Elephas maximus indicus: one gene and its partners. The protein of the gene in region 1 purifies or fractionates together with the protein of each later gene. This does not show direct contact. Links are inferred from orthologs where the notes say so. Each region holds a gene or a part of one and is shown on either strand. Other genes may lie near its edges.

Region 1 (3,747 bases):
AGGGCATCATTTAATTTTAAGCTGTGTTTGAGACTATAAAAAACACGCTAATGTAACTTAATATAAATAATATATAAGCAATATATATGTATCTATATATAAATTGATCCATGCATCAGACCACTGATGTTGTACTCTCGGGATTCACACGAATGAGCCTGGATGCGTTCCTCAGGTCTTGGAGTTGCTTGGCAGGTTTCCCCACACCTTCTTCAAACCTGTTCTCCACCACAGGGAGGACTGTTTCATAGAGAAAGGATGCATTCTGTCTAATAAAGGCCTTCTTCTCTGGGTCCTGCTCACACCTCAGACTATAATCCACATGCTGGACAGCAACCAAAATGATCTCCATCAGGCTCTCCAAAAGCACCATGTGCAGCTCTGGGAAATACAGCTTCAGGGCCTCTTCCAAGAAGCCCATGGTCTGTTTGGTGAAAGCAACCACAGTGTAGCTGAGGTTCACCCAGCAGTCATCCCCTGTGTACTGCTCAAAATTACTCACCCCGCAACTCTTCATCTCTTCTTTGAGTTTACCCAGAGCCTCTGGAGTCATCAAGTTCATCCTCCTCCACATCTCCTCAGAATTGCGATGCTTAGTGGCTTCAATTATGATTTCCTTGTAACTGTGCAAGGCCCCCTGGATGTCTTTCACCAGAAGGGCATGGATGATGAAGGTGAGATCCAATCCAATATCTCCCAGCTGCTGACAATGCTCCTTGGCCACCTTTACACACTCTGCTGCTGTAGAGAGGCTCTCTTTACTATCAAACACCTGCTTGCTAAAAGCATTCACAAACATGCCCATGGCTGATCGCGCCCAGACCACAAAGGCAGAATAGCAGCCACTGTCAGTGCCTGCGAAATCTGTCTCAAATTCCCTTGCAGTCTCTAGAAGACTGGTAAAGAAGACATGACACAGCTTATGAATATACAGTAAGGTGGCACCCTCAATGCGAAGCTGTCTTATTGCAGTATGCACAGCGGCTGCCCTGTTTCTCAAAAACAGCTCACAAGCCTTAGTGCACTGGCCCAATCGGATGAGCTGAGAAACTGCTCTGCGAGTAGCCTTGGGACCGCCTCTCAGGGAACGATCTGGAGAGAGTTCAAAAACTAATACCTCAGTGAGCTGGCGAACACGCTCATCCACTTTGGCCCTTAATTCTTTCACAGGAGGTGGACTGGGCTTATTTTCTAGATAATGGTTCAACTTATCCAGCAGGTCCACGGCCCCTTCAAAATCCCTCTGAGCAATACAGACATCCAGGTCTTCTGGTAACTCCTGGATCCATTCCATTGAGAGGTCCACTTTCTCTTCCTCCACCTCAGGAACAACCTCTTCTTCTTCTTCTTCATCCTCGAATGGGTTACTGGCCTTGGAAGGCACTTGGGGCGGCCCTCGGGGGGCTGCTGCCTCCTCCTGCTCCCTTCGTCTTTTCTCACTAAGGGCCCTCTTGGTTTCTTCCAGCACTTCCAGCCACTCCCGTTTGATTTTTGCATTTTCCGCCTGAAAAATGCGGCTCTCCGGGAACATGAGCAGCTTGAACATGTCCTTCATGGGTGGGTTGTCCTTGACATTGACCACGGCCAAGCCATCTAGGGGGTAGAGAGCGTTGTAGCGATACATTCCCCGCCGCTGTGGCAGCCAGGTGGCCACCAGCAAACAGTCGTTCATAAGAAAACCATGCACCCGCTGTAGCTGGGCCATGTGGTCCGCCTCGTACTCCACCAGGTCCCCGTTGTACACCAGGTACTGTCCCGGCGTCTCTAGCAGGTGCCGGCAGCCTTCCACCTTCTCAAGAAGGGTGGTGAGGGTGCGCTGCTTTCCCTCCTCACCCGGACCTGAACTGTCGCGGGAGGCGCCCCCAGGGGTGGGGAAAAAGCCGACCTGGCCTCTGAGGTGGTCTCGGCCCCCCGCCCCACCTCCCCCCTCCTCCCCACCAGAGGCCGCGGCGGCTCCGGCGGCGGCGGCGGCAGGAAGCAGGGTGAGTGGGATGCTCTCCAGGCTGCTCTTCTGTTCGGTAAGCAGATGGCTGAGCTGATACATCTCGCTCTCCAAATAGGAGATCTCGCGGGCCGTCTCTATGAACTGCCGGTAGTTCTGGTACACGTTGCGCTTCAGGTTCTGCGCCGTCTCCTCCGCCAGCGCCTGGATGCGCTGCCGGTGCTCCTGGAGGTCCCGATCCCCGTCCGACTGCTGAGAGAGCTGTTTCACGTACAGCCGAGCCTCGAAGCCGCCCGACTCCAGCTGCCGCCTCAGACGGCTCGCCCCGCTGTCCGACATCGACATCGCCATTTCCGTCCGGCTCGCGGGCAGTCACTGTCAGTACAGCTGCCGCTGCCGAGACCCACCCAGCCGGAATGAGTTCCAGGCTGAAGAAGCAGGACGAAGCGAGGTGAACGCGCCTGCGCTCGGGTCTGAGAGTCGGGCACTGCGCTTGCGCAAGGAGCCGCGCTAGCGAGTACGCCTGCGCCGAAGCGTCAGCTGCTTAGGGCGCATGCGCCCCTAAGCGCTTTCGCGGAAGTGAGTGAGGGTGGAGGCAGTCGTGCAGGCTCTGCGCATGGATGGAGGCTGGTGTCTGGTGTTTGAAACTGTAGGGGCGGTATCAGCTCCCGGCGACTTCTCGGCCAAACCTGGGGAACTGAATTCTGCGCCAACTAAGAGGTGCGGATTTTCGTTAGCCCTCGAATCTTGGCTTCGGCGTCTTGGGGAAGGTCAGCTTTCGTGCTCGTTCTGAAGCCGGTATTCCGCCTTCTCGCGATAGCTGCTGGAAGCCGGTATCTCCTAGGAGCCGCCGGGGAGCAGCTGGGGGGCCACACAACCCGGCGCCATGGACGAAGACCTGGTTTTGGCCTTGCAGCTGCAGGAGGAGTGGGACTTGGAGGCCGCGCGATTCGACCGCGCCCAGGAACCCCTGTCGCTGGTGGACGCGTCCTGGGAGCTGGTGGACCCCACCCCGGACCTGCAGGCCCTCTTCGTGCAGTTCAACGACCGGTTCTTTTGGGGCCAGCTGGAGGCTGTGGAGGTGAAATGGAGCGTGCGAATGACCCTGTGAGTCCCGGCCGGGTGGGCCTCCTCTTCCACCTGCCCTGACAGCTTTAGGAAAGCTGCGGGGCCCACACGCTTGAGGGATAGGGACACAGTGAGAGCACAGGACCTTGACTCTCAACTCAGTTGAGAAGAAATGGACACATTTCCGATTTGTCCTGTGGTGGTGCCTTTTTTTTTTTTTTGCTACACATTAGGTCGTTAGAGAATGGATAGATAAAGCTTAACTAATCTTATGCTAAAAGAGCCCTGGTGGCGAAGTGGTAAAAGGACACCACCGCTAACCGATAGGTCTTTGGTTCAAACCCACCGGGTGCTCCGCGGGAGAAAGATGTGGCAGTCTGCTCCCATAAAGATTAAGGTCTTGGAAACCCAGTGGGGACAGTTCTGTCCTGTTCTATAGGGTCTCTGTGAGTCAGAATCCCCTCGACGGCAACGGATTTGATGGTTTTTCAGTTTAGTGCTTTAGGACCCAAGAAGGAGGAGCACCAGCGTCTGCCCCTAAGAAAAATGCCGGGAAGAAATCGCCAAAGAATGTGTTGTCTTCCTCTATACTCATTGACATGGCACCACTTAGTGTGTTGGACTGTGGAAGGAGGACTTTTCCATATTTCTGGACCCAAGGGATCTTTAATGATACTTATTAAAGATTTCTTTTCTACACTCTTTAAGTTTAAGAAATTCGGATTTGAAATAATAAC
Region 2 (3,747 bases), on another chromosome or scaffold:
AACTCAAATAATGATTAATAAATCTGATTTTTAAATTCTAATCTGGGGAGTTGCCTAGATCAGGATCTCCAGATGTAACATCTGTAGTCTGTATTAGAAAACAACAGCAAACAAAACACCTCCCAGGTGCTTTTGATGCACTTGGTTGTTGGACCGGTGGAACTATTAGAATAAAGTACAAATTTCTCAACTCAGCATTTAAGGCTTTTTTCTTTATTTTTCCAAAATACATTTCCAGTCCATTTCTTGCTACTTACAGTTCTACATGCCAGTGAAAATGAGTTCTTGCTGGCTCTCTGGATTCTCCTCACACCTTCTGGTCACCCCTTTTAACCTTTAGGCCCCATCTCTCTTTGAAGTCTTCAAACCCAGATGTGATCCCTGAGCTTAATTTTCTAAACTTGCTTACTGACACATTCTGTTTTATATCATAGTTTTGGGCTTATCCAGCTTTTCTCCCCAATGGCCTGAAGGAACTTAGTTCCAAACCCAAAACCAAACCCATTGGTGTCAAGTGGAAATCCAACCCATAGTTAACCTATAGGACAGAGTAGAAGTGCCCTGTAGGGTTCCTAAGGCTGTAAGTTTTTACAGAAGCAGACTGCCACATCTTTCTCCCAGGGAGCGGCTGGTGGCTTCCAATCGCCAACCTTTAAGTTGGTAGCCCAGCGCTTAACCACTGAGCCACAACGGCTCCCCTCTTATTGTTTGCGCCTACAGAGCCTTTGCACTTTGCGGTAAAGGTGTTAAACAAGAATTTGTGGAATTAGTGTCACTGCCTGATTTGTTTACTCTTTTCATATGCAGTGTCGCTGTTCCCGGCTTAACGTGGGCTTTCAACAAGCATTTGTGGAACCAACGAATAATGAACGGCGTTCAGCCTAACATCGCCCAGAGAAATACAAAGCCCAGCATGCATTGCGTGGAACGTCGGCGGACGCGGTGACGCAAGGGGGCGTGCCGAGCCTGAGGGAGGGGTCGTCCTGCGGGTAGCCGGAGGCTGGGGTGGCCGTGGAGCCCGGGGTGAGAGAGGGAGTGTGAGGGAGCGAAAGGTGAACCGAGCTGAAGGAAGGGACGCGTTGCTAGGTGCCCCCGGTTTATGGAGCGGGGCAAGATGGCGGAGGCGGAGAGCCTCGAGACAGCGGCGGAGCACGAGCGGATCCTGCGAGAGATCGAGAGCACCGACACGGCCTGCATCGGGCCCACGCTCAGGTACTCCGGATACCCGGGCCACCGACGGGCGGACACGGGCGGGACCGGCGGGCAGAGTCCTTCGGGTCGGTCCGCCCGGCCGGACTCCCACAGCGCTGGCGTCTGCCCCTCCTTTCGGGAGCCCAGCGAGCGGCCTCCGCCTCAGTGAGGCGGGTCTCCCGCCGGAGCCCCGACGTAGGGTCCTTTCCCGGCCCGGCGGCCCCCCACAGCCCGGTCCTCAGGAGGAGCCTCCTGCCTCCCTCGGGCCAGGCAGCCTTCTTTCTCCCTTCGAGCCTTGCCCAGCGCCGGGCAACTAGAGATCACCCGACAGATGCAGAGCTTCCCCCTTGGGAACATCACCCTTCTCCTTCCGATTCGAACCCTCGTCCTGCCTTAGACATAAGTCCTGCTCTTCAGACAAAACGAAATTTCACCCCACGGTCCCTTGCCTAGAAATGATACTCTTGCCGCCTTAAAATCAAAACCACTTCTCAAAAACGAGCCCCTGAAAATCCTTGGCCCTGGAAAGAAAGTTTCCCTCAACCCGCGCCCCTTTCCTTGGAGCGGGTGCTCGCGAACCCTGCCAGGAGGATGACTCTTTGCAAAGGTGCAGCCTCATAGTATTCTCATGGCTGAGAAAAATTTGCCCCTTCTCCGCCCCCCGCCCCCGTTACACCCCAATTTTATTTGCAGATGTCAAAACAAACCCTGACCGATCCCAACTTACTTATTTAACAAAACTTAGGTAATGCTTCTTATATACGGTGCAAGACGTTATGTTAAGTGATTTACACATTTATTTAAACGCAGAACAACAACAACAAAATCCTACTAGGTGGGTATTATTAGTACTCTCATTTTACAGATGAAGCACAGCGAGGTTAAGCGACTTGCCCAGGGTCACAGAGAAAATAAATTGGAGAAGTCAAGATTCCTACTTAGGCAATCTGGATTCAGAGTCTGCACTTTTTTTAAAACAATATTTTATTATGTTTTCAGTGGAAGTTAACACAGCAAATTAGGTTCCCATTTGACAATTTGTAGAAAAATTGATCAGCGACGTTAGTTACCAGGGTCTGCACTGTTAACCGCTGTTGTTTTGCCTCAACTGGGAATTATCATCTGCCTTACTTTTTTGTTGATAATTACACACCAAAGCCCAATTTAGAGCTACTTTTCCCTTACCCTTCAGTTTAGCAATGCCCTAGAGCTAACTTATCCTCATCCTTTCAGTCTAGGTCACTGTTCCTCCCTTCAAAGAAGAGTTATGAAAGAGTAGTTGAAGGAGGGCCAGGCTGGAGATGACTTCTCAGCCCCAGCTGCAATTCCTTCTCCAGGGTGCATTGTTAGCACAGTTTTCCCAGTGTCATCCCTGGACACTTTTATCCTCAGGTTTTGCCTTCTGTCCTTTAAAGTGACTTTTGGTTCTCTTTTTGGATCAGTTCTTCAGCACTATGGGTATCTTACTCTCCCCTCTGCTCTCATACATTATGATCATGATGACCATGCTTTTCTCATTAAGCTGTTCACGGTGAATGATCCTCATTTCCTAGTCTTTGTTTTTCCAGAAACTAAGGGCTACTTACTAGTGTCCTACTAAGGGCCTTAATAGTTGTTAATATTTGCTTTTTGTAAAATAAAATGTTACTGGAGTTTACTGAGGATGCTGTTTTCAATAGTCTACCCAGAAATTTGACCACTGAGTTGCAGTTGACAACCTAGCAAAGCACCATCAGTGTTGTCTTGAACTGGTTGTGGTTTTCAAAGTTCTTGTTTTATATGATGGATGGACTTTAGTGTTGTCAGTTTAGTTTGTAGTAGTTTATTAGGTTAACTCTCCACTGAATAATGATACATATTTGTATCAACTTAGTTTTGGCCCGTAATTTTTCTAGTGTCTTGACTTTAAGAATATATGTATTTTGGTTCAAATGTAAATTACCATTCTTCCTAAAACTTGCTTCATTATGATCACAGAGTTCTTTTTCCACTGGGAAGTGGGCTTTTATGGGGTAGATAGATTAAGATATATTTTGCCCTAAGGGAGCACAGTTAGAAAAAAATGCACTGTACCAACAGCTTTAGTTGCTTTTCCTGACTCCCTGTATCATTATTAGGGGCTTTTCATTTTTTGTTCTCATCTTTTCTGTGGCAGATAACCCTAAATCTTACTATCAGACTGAAGATTTAATCACCTGAACATCGTAAAGTCGTACCTACTATCTTTGTCTTTAGCTTGCCTCTCCCCATTTTCACAGGTAATGATCTCACCTTATTTGCTTATTCCATTCAGAGGCAGTAGCATGCACAGACTTGATGTTTCAGATCCCATGCCTTATCCTGGATGCACCTCCATCATTATTATATTTTGTTTTTCATCACAGTCCTTAGAGAGGTTTGACTAAGGTTATAAGCACTCTTCTTTAACTCTCCTCAGCTGTAAACCCCACACTCCTCTATCCCTCTTCATATTATGTCTTTCCAATTTTTTCGATCTTTTGAGGTGGCTTTTTTTTTTTTAATTAATTTTTGTTGTGCTTTAAGTGAGAGTTTACA
Region 3 (3,747 bases), on another chromosome or scaffold:
CTTCCCAGGGACTGATAACATGTCTGAAGTATGTGAGACGAAATCTTGATATCTTCGCTTCTAAGGAGCATTCTAGCTGTATTTCTTCCTGGCAGATTTGTTCATTCTTCTGGCAGTCCATGGTATATTCAATATTCTTCTCCAACACTATAAACCAAAGGCATCAATCATTCTTCGTTCGGTCTTCCTTATTCACTGTCCAAGTTTCACATGCATATGAGGTGACTGAAAATACCATAGCTTGAATCAGGCACGCCTGAGCCCTCAAGGTGACATCACTGCTTTGCAACACTTTAAATTAGAGGTCTTTTGCAGCAGATTTGATTAGATCCTTAGAAGTGATGATGGTAAGACTTTGACTAGCTTACCTTGGACACATCATCAAAAAAGACCAATCACTAGAAAGCGCCATCATGTTTGGTGGAGGATTAGGGAAGATGAGGGAAACCTTCAATGACATGAATTGACACGATAGCCCCAACAATGGGTTCAAACATACCAACAATCATGAAGATGGCACAGATGGAATGGGCAAAATCCCATTCATAAGGCTGCCATGAGTCAGAGCTGAATGCTAGGCAATTAACATCACATTGATTAGATCAGTGGGTGTGTGCCAAGCAGATAGCTGATGCTCATAGTTTTCCCCCTACCCCATGTGTTTAGGAAAGAGCTCCATTTCTCTGGTTACTTTCTTTCTTTGATCTAACATTCAGACTTTTCAAGCAACATGCGTTCATTAAAAAAAAAAAAAAAAAAACCCCAGTGTCTTGCATGTCTAACAGACGGGCTGTTTGTATAGAAGTAACTGGAGTCAATGAAAGTGGGACTCCTGTATATCATCTTGAGACAAGTTACATGGAAACCTTACAAGAGTTCACCAAGGTCCCTCCCATTCTGTAGTCTAGGTTGTTGTATTGACTAAAACATGGACAAGGGATCTGTATCCTGGCCAAAGATGCCCCACTCACAGCCTTCTTCCCACCCCTACCCCTATTCCAACCCCCACTGTCACAATGAAAACTTTAAACGGTCCTTGTTTCATTCAATTCTAACAATTAGCGAGCTGGGCATACAGTTATCTTTTTTTTTTTTTTTTTTTACAGTTGTGGGATCTGGCATTCAAAAAAACAGAGGGGTGAAAAACCATGCTCCAGATCACACCACTAGGAAAGTTTCAGAACCAGCACCAAACCTAGGTTTTCAAACCCAACTCTCCTGTTCTATCCAATATATTCAATGATCGCATTCATGGTCACCCCATTTCTGAGAACTTAACCTGTTCCAAGCAAAAAAAAACAAACCAAACCCACTGCCACTGAGTCAATTCTGACTCACAGCGGCCCTACAGGACAGAGTAGAACTGCCCCTCAGGGCTTCCAAGGAGCGCCTGTTCCAAGCAGGGGTCAAATCACAGATAACTTAAACGAACAAATGAGTCAAGTCTCTTCCACTGGCAATCCTAAATTAGTCCACGAGACACAAGAACTTCTCCCCAGAAACCTCACCTGATAACAACCCTGATGGTCAACGTTTCTAAAATGCATCTGATAATGAGCACGAAGAGAAGTGCTCACAGGAGCAGTCTCAGCGCTGCTTTCCCTGCCACTAACAGCTGCGAACCAACCACAGATCATCTTATACACGTCTAAGAAGACAAGAACAGGGGTGTCGATGCCTGGTCCAGGAAAACGGCTAAAGTCCAGAGCGCTTCCCTTAAGAAACCACAGTGCACTCGGGGCTGGCCCCTATCAAAGAAACAACTTCACACCCATTTGCAAGACAGAACCAAAACCAAACAAAACAGCTTTTAGAACACAGCCTCACTTCCGCACAAGTTCCTAAGGCAATAATAAGTTTTTGCAACACTTTATAGCTCTTGTTCAGCCCACCGCGGCAACTAAGGGACTGAGGAAGTGGCCCGTCGTCCAGCTGGAGGCCCGAAAGGGCAGGAAATGGAAGCAGAGGCCATCTGAGGGGAAAAAGGGAAGGATCGGTGAAAAGGGCGAGGCTGGGCCACCGCCTCCCGAGCCTCCGCCCGGCTGGGAGCCCCAGGGGCTTTCTCCAGGCGACCCTCCCGGCCGGCGCGGGGCAGGCGGCGGGGCGTCGCCCTCCGGCTTCGGTAGGGGACGCGCCCGGCCCCAGCCCGGCCCCAGCCCGGCCCCAGCCCGGCCCCAGCCCAGCGCGGGGAGAGCGGGGAGCGCGGGGGCCAGGAGCCGCCAGGCGCAGGGCGGCGCGCCCGCTCCCGCAGCCCGCGCCCCACCCCCCGAGGTGCCTGCGCGGCGTGGGCGCCCTTACCTGGGACACGTCCCGCGCCCGCCGCCTCGGCCGTCCGCCCCGCCCCCTCTCTCGCCTCCTCCCGGGCCGGACCCCAGCCGTCCCCAACCGATTTGTCATTCAGCGGGGCTGGCTCGCCTCCACACCCCTCGAGCGCGCCCCCGGCGTCGCCTAGGCAACCCTTCCTCTCGAGAGCGCGCCCACCCTTCCGTTCCCGCCCTCCCCTGTAGGCCACGCCCAGCGTGAGCCTATCAGCCAATCCGAGGCGGAGCCTTCAAGCGCCGGGAGGCTGAGGAGGAAGCTACGCCAATGAGAAGCCGCCTCAGGCGGGAGGGGCAGGCTCGCATGTCTGCCCCGCCCACTTCCCTTTCCTCTCTTTCCCCAGCCGGGCAAGGCGCGCGTGACCGGGGCTGCAGTGGAGGAGCTGCGAGCTGGTCCAGGGACGCTGAGCGAGGGCGAGGGAGCGGTGCTCCGGTCGTGGGACGTCGGCCAGGGCAAGGCCAAAGTAGGGAAAAGCAAAAGGGAACGACCTACCTGACAAGTAGAAACCCAGGTTTTAAAGCTACGACGTGGAGAAGTGTGCTTTCGCGCGGGTGTGGCGTGGAATATCTGTGGAAGGGTCCGGAGAGCTGTTTGCTGGGACGCCTGCCGGGGTCCCCTGCGGCGGGACCCCGTCAGCAGCCATAACTCGCTTGACAAATGACCTCCCATTAGCAGTAGTGCAGTGTCTTGACCAATGCTTGGCAACAACTTGAGGCAAGTCGCATAGGAGGAGGCTCACAACCAACAGGTTTTCTCCCACAGCCTGCCCGCCCCCGCCCTCCAAAGCCCGGGGACTGATAATTTTCTATCCAAAAAGGGCTCCACCTCAGGTTGACTTTCCTAACTAACTGCCCCTTCCTAAAGTTGAATCCTCCCCACGAGCAGGTTTGGTGACCCCTACACAAACCTCACACCGTATCACATTTGATTAAATGTCTGCCTCTACAATCTCTAGGGAAGGGAACGATCTTTTATTCAATTTTATATCCACAGCAGCTAGTGCAGTGTCTGGCATATAAACATTAATTCTCTCCTGGTTGGTAATTACACTTTAAGGTACATATGCATTATATTAGAAGCTTTTCTGCCTTGATTAAACTGCCCTGTATAAGCAACTAATTGATGTAGTCCCTCAACCAACATCTATATCCAAAAGCACAGAAGCTTCACTTTAATCTTAAGTAAGTCTTAACAGAGGCAAAGAAAACGTTCGATCAGAAGAATATCCTAGTGTTAGTCTAGGATCTTAAGCATTCAGTTTTTACCTTTCTTATGCACATTAAAGACTTACCTGGAGTGCTAATTATATGACAGAAACCATTCTAAAGGGAAAGTAGGGAACGTCTCAAAGGTGAATATCTCTACTTTGTATAACCTAGAAGGAAAATCAGACCCAAACCTTTTCCTGTGGAGTAATTAAGTGTATGG

The links.
Region 2: the proteins of EXOC8 (region 1) and EXOC6B purify together in Homo sapiens (affinity purification with mass spectrometry; 3 studies listed by BioGRID and IntAct, counting the BioPlex papers as one, with this or other methods). This does not show direct contact. The link is inferred for Elephas maximus indicus from reciprocal best matches to the Homo sapiens genes EXOC8 and EXOC6B.
Region 3: the proteins of EXOC8 (region 1) and RALB purify together in Homo sapiens (affinity purification with western blotting; 6 studies listed by BioGRID and IntAct, counting the BioPlex papers as one, with this or other methods). This does not show direct contact. The link is inferred for Elephas maximus indicus from reciprocal best matches to the Homo sapiens genes EXOC8 and RALB.

Annotation. Positions count from the first base shown.
Region 1 is NC_064842.1:33,316,463-33,320,209, reverse strand, and holds the start of EXOC8 (exocyst complex component 8), read right to left. Parts: upstream 2,420-3,747; 5' UTR 2,294-2,419; coding exon 116-2,293; 3' UTR 1-115. Other genes in the region: DNA-dependent metalloprotease SPRTN, read left to right, coding at 2,829-3,049. UniProt on the Homo sapiens protein: Component of the exocyst complex involved in the docking of exocytic vesicles with fusion sites on the plasma membrane.
Region 2 is NC_064835.1:63,082,589-63,086,335, forward strand, and holds the start of EXOC6B (exocyst complex component 6B), read left to right. Parts: upstream 1-981; 5' UTR 982-1,099; coding exon 1,100-1,212; intron 1,213-3,747. UniProt on the Homo sapiens protein: Component of the exocyst complex involved in the docking of exocytic vesicles with fusion sites on the plasma membrane.
Region 3 is NC_064824.1:19,086,355-19,090,101, forward strand, and holds the start of RALB (ras-related protein Ral-B), read right to left. Parts: upstream 2,424-3,747; 5' UTR 2,299-2,423; intron 1-2,298. UniProt on the Homo sapiens protein: Multifunctional GTPase involved in a variety of cellular processes including gene expression, cell migration, cell proliferation, oncogenic transformation and membrane trafficking.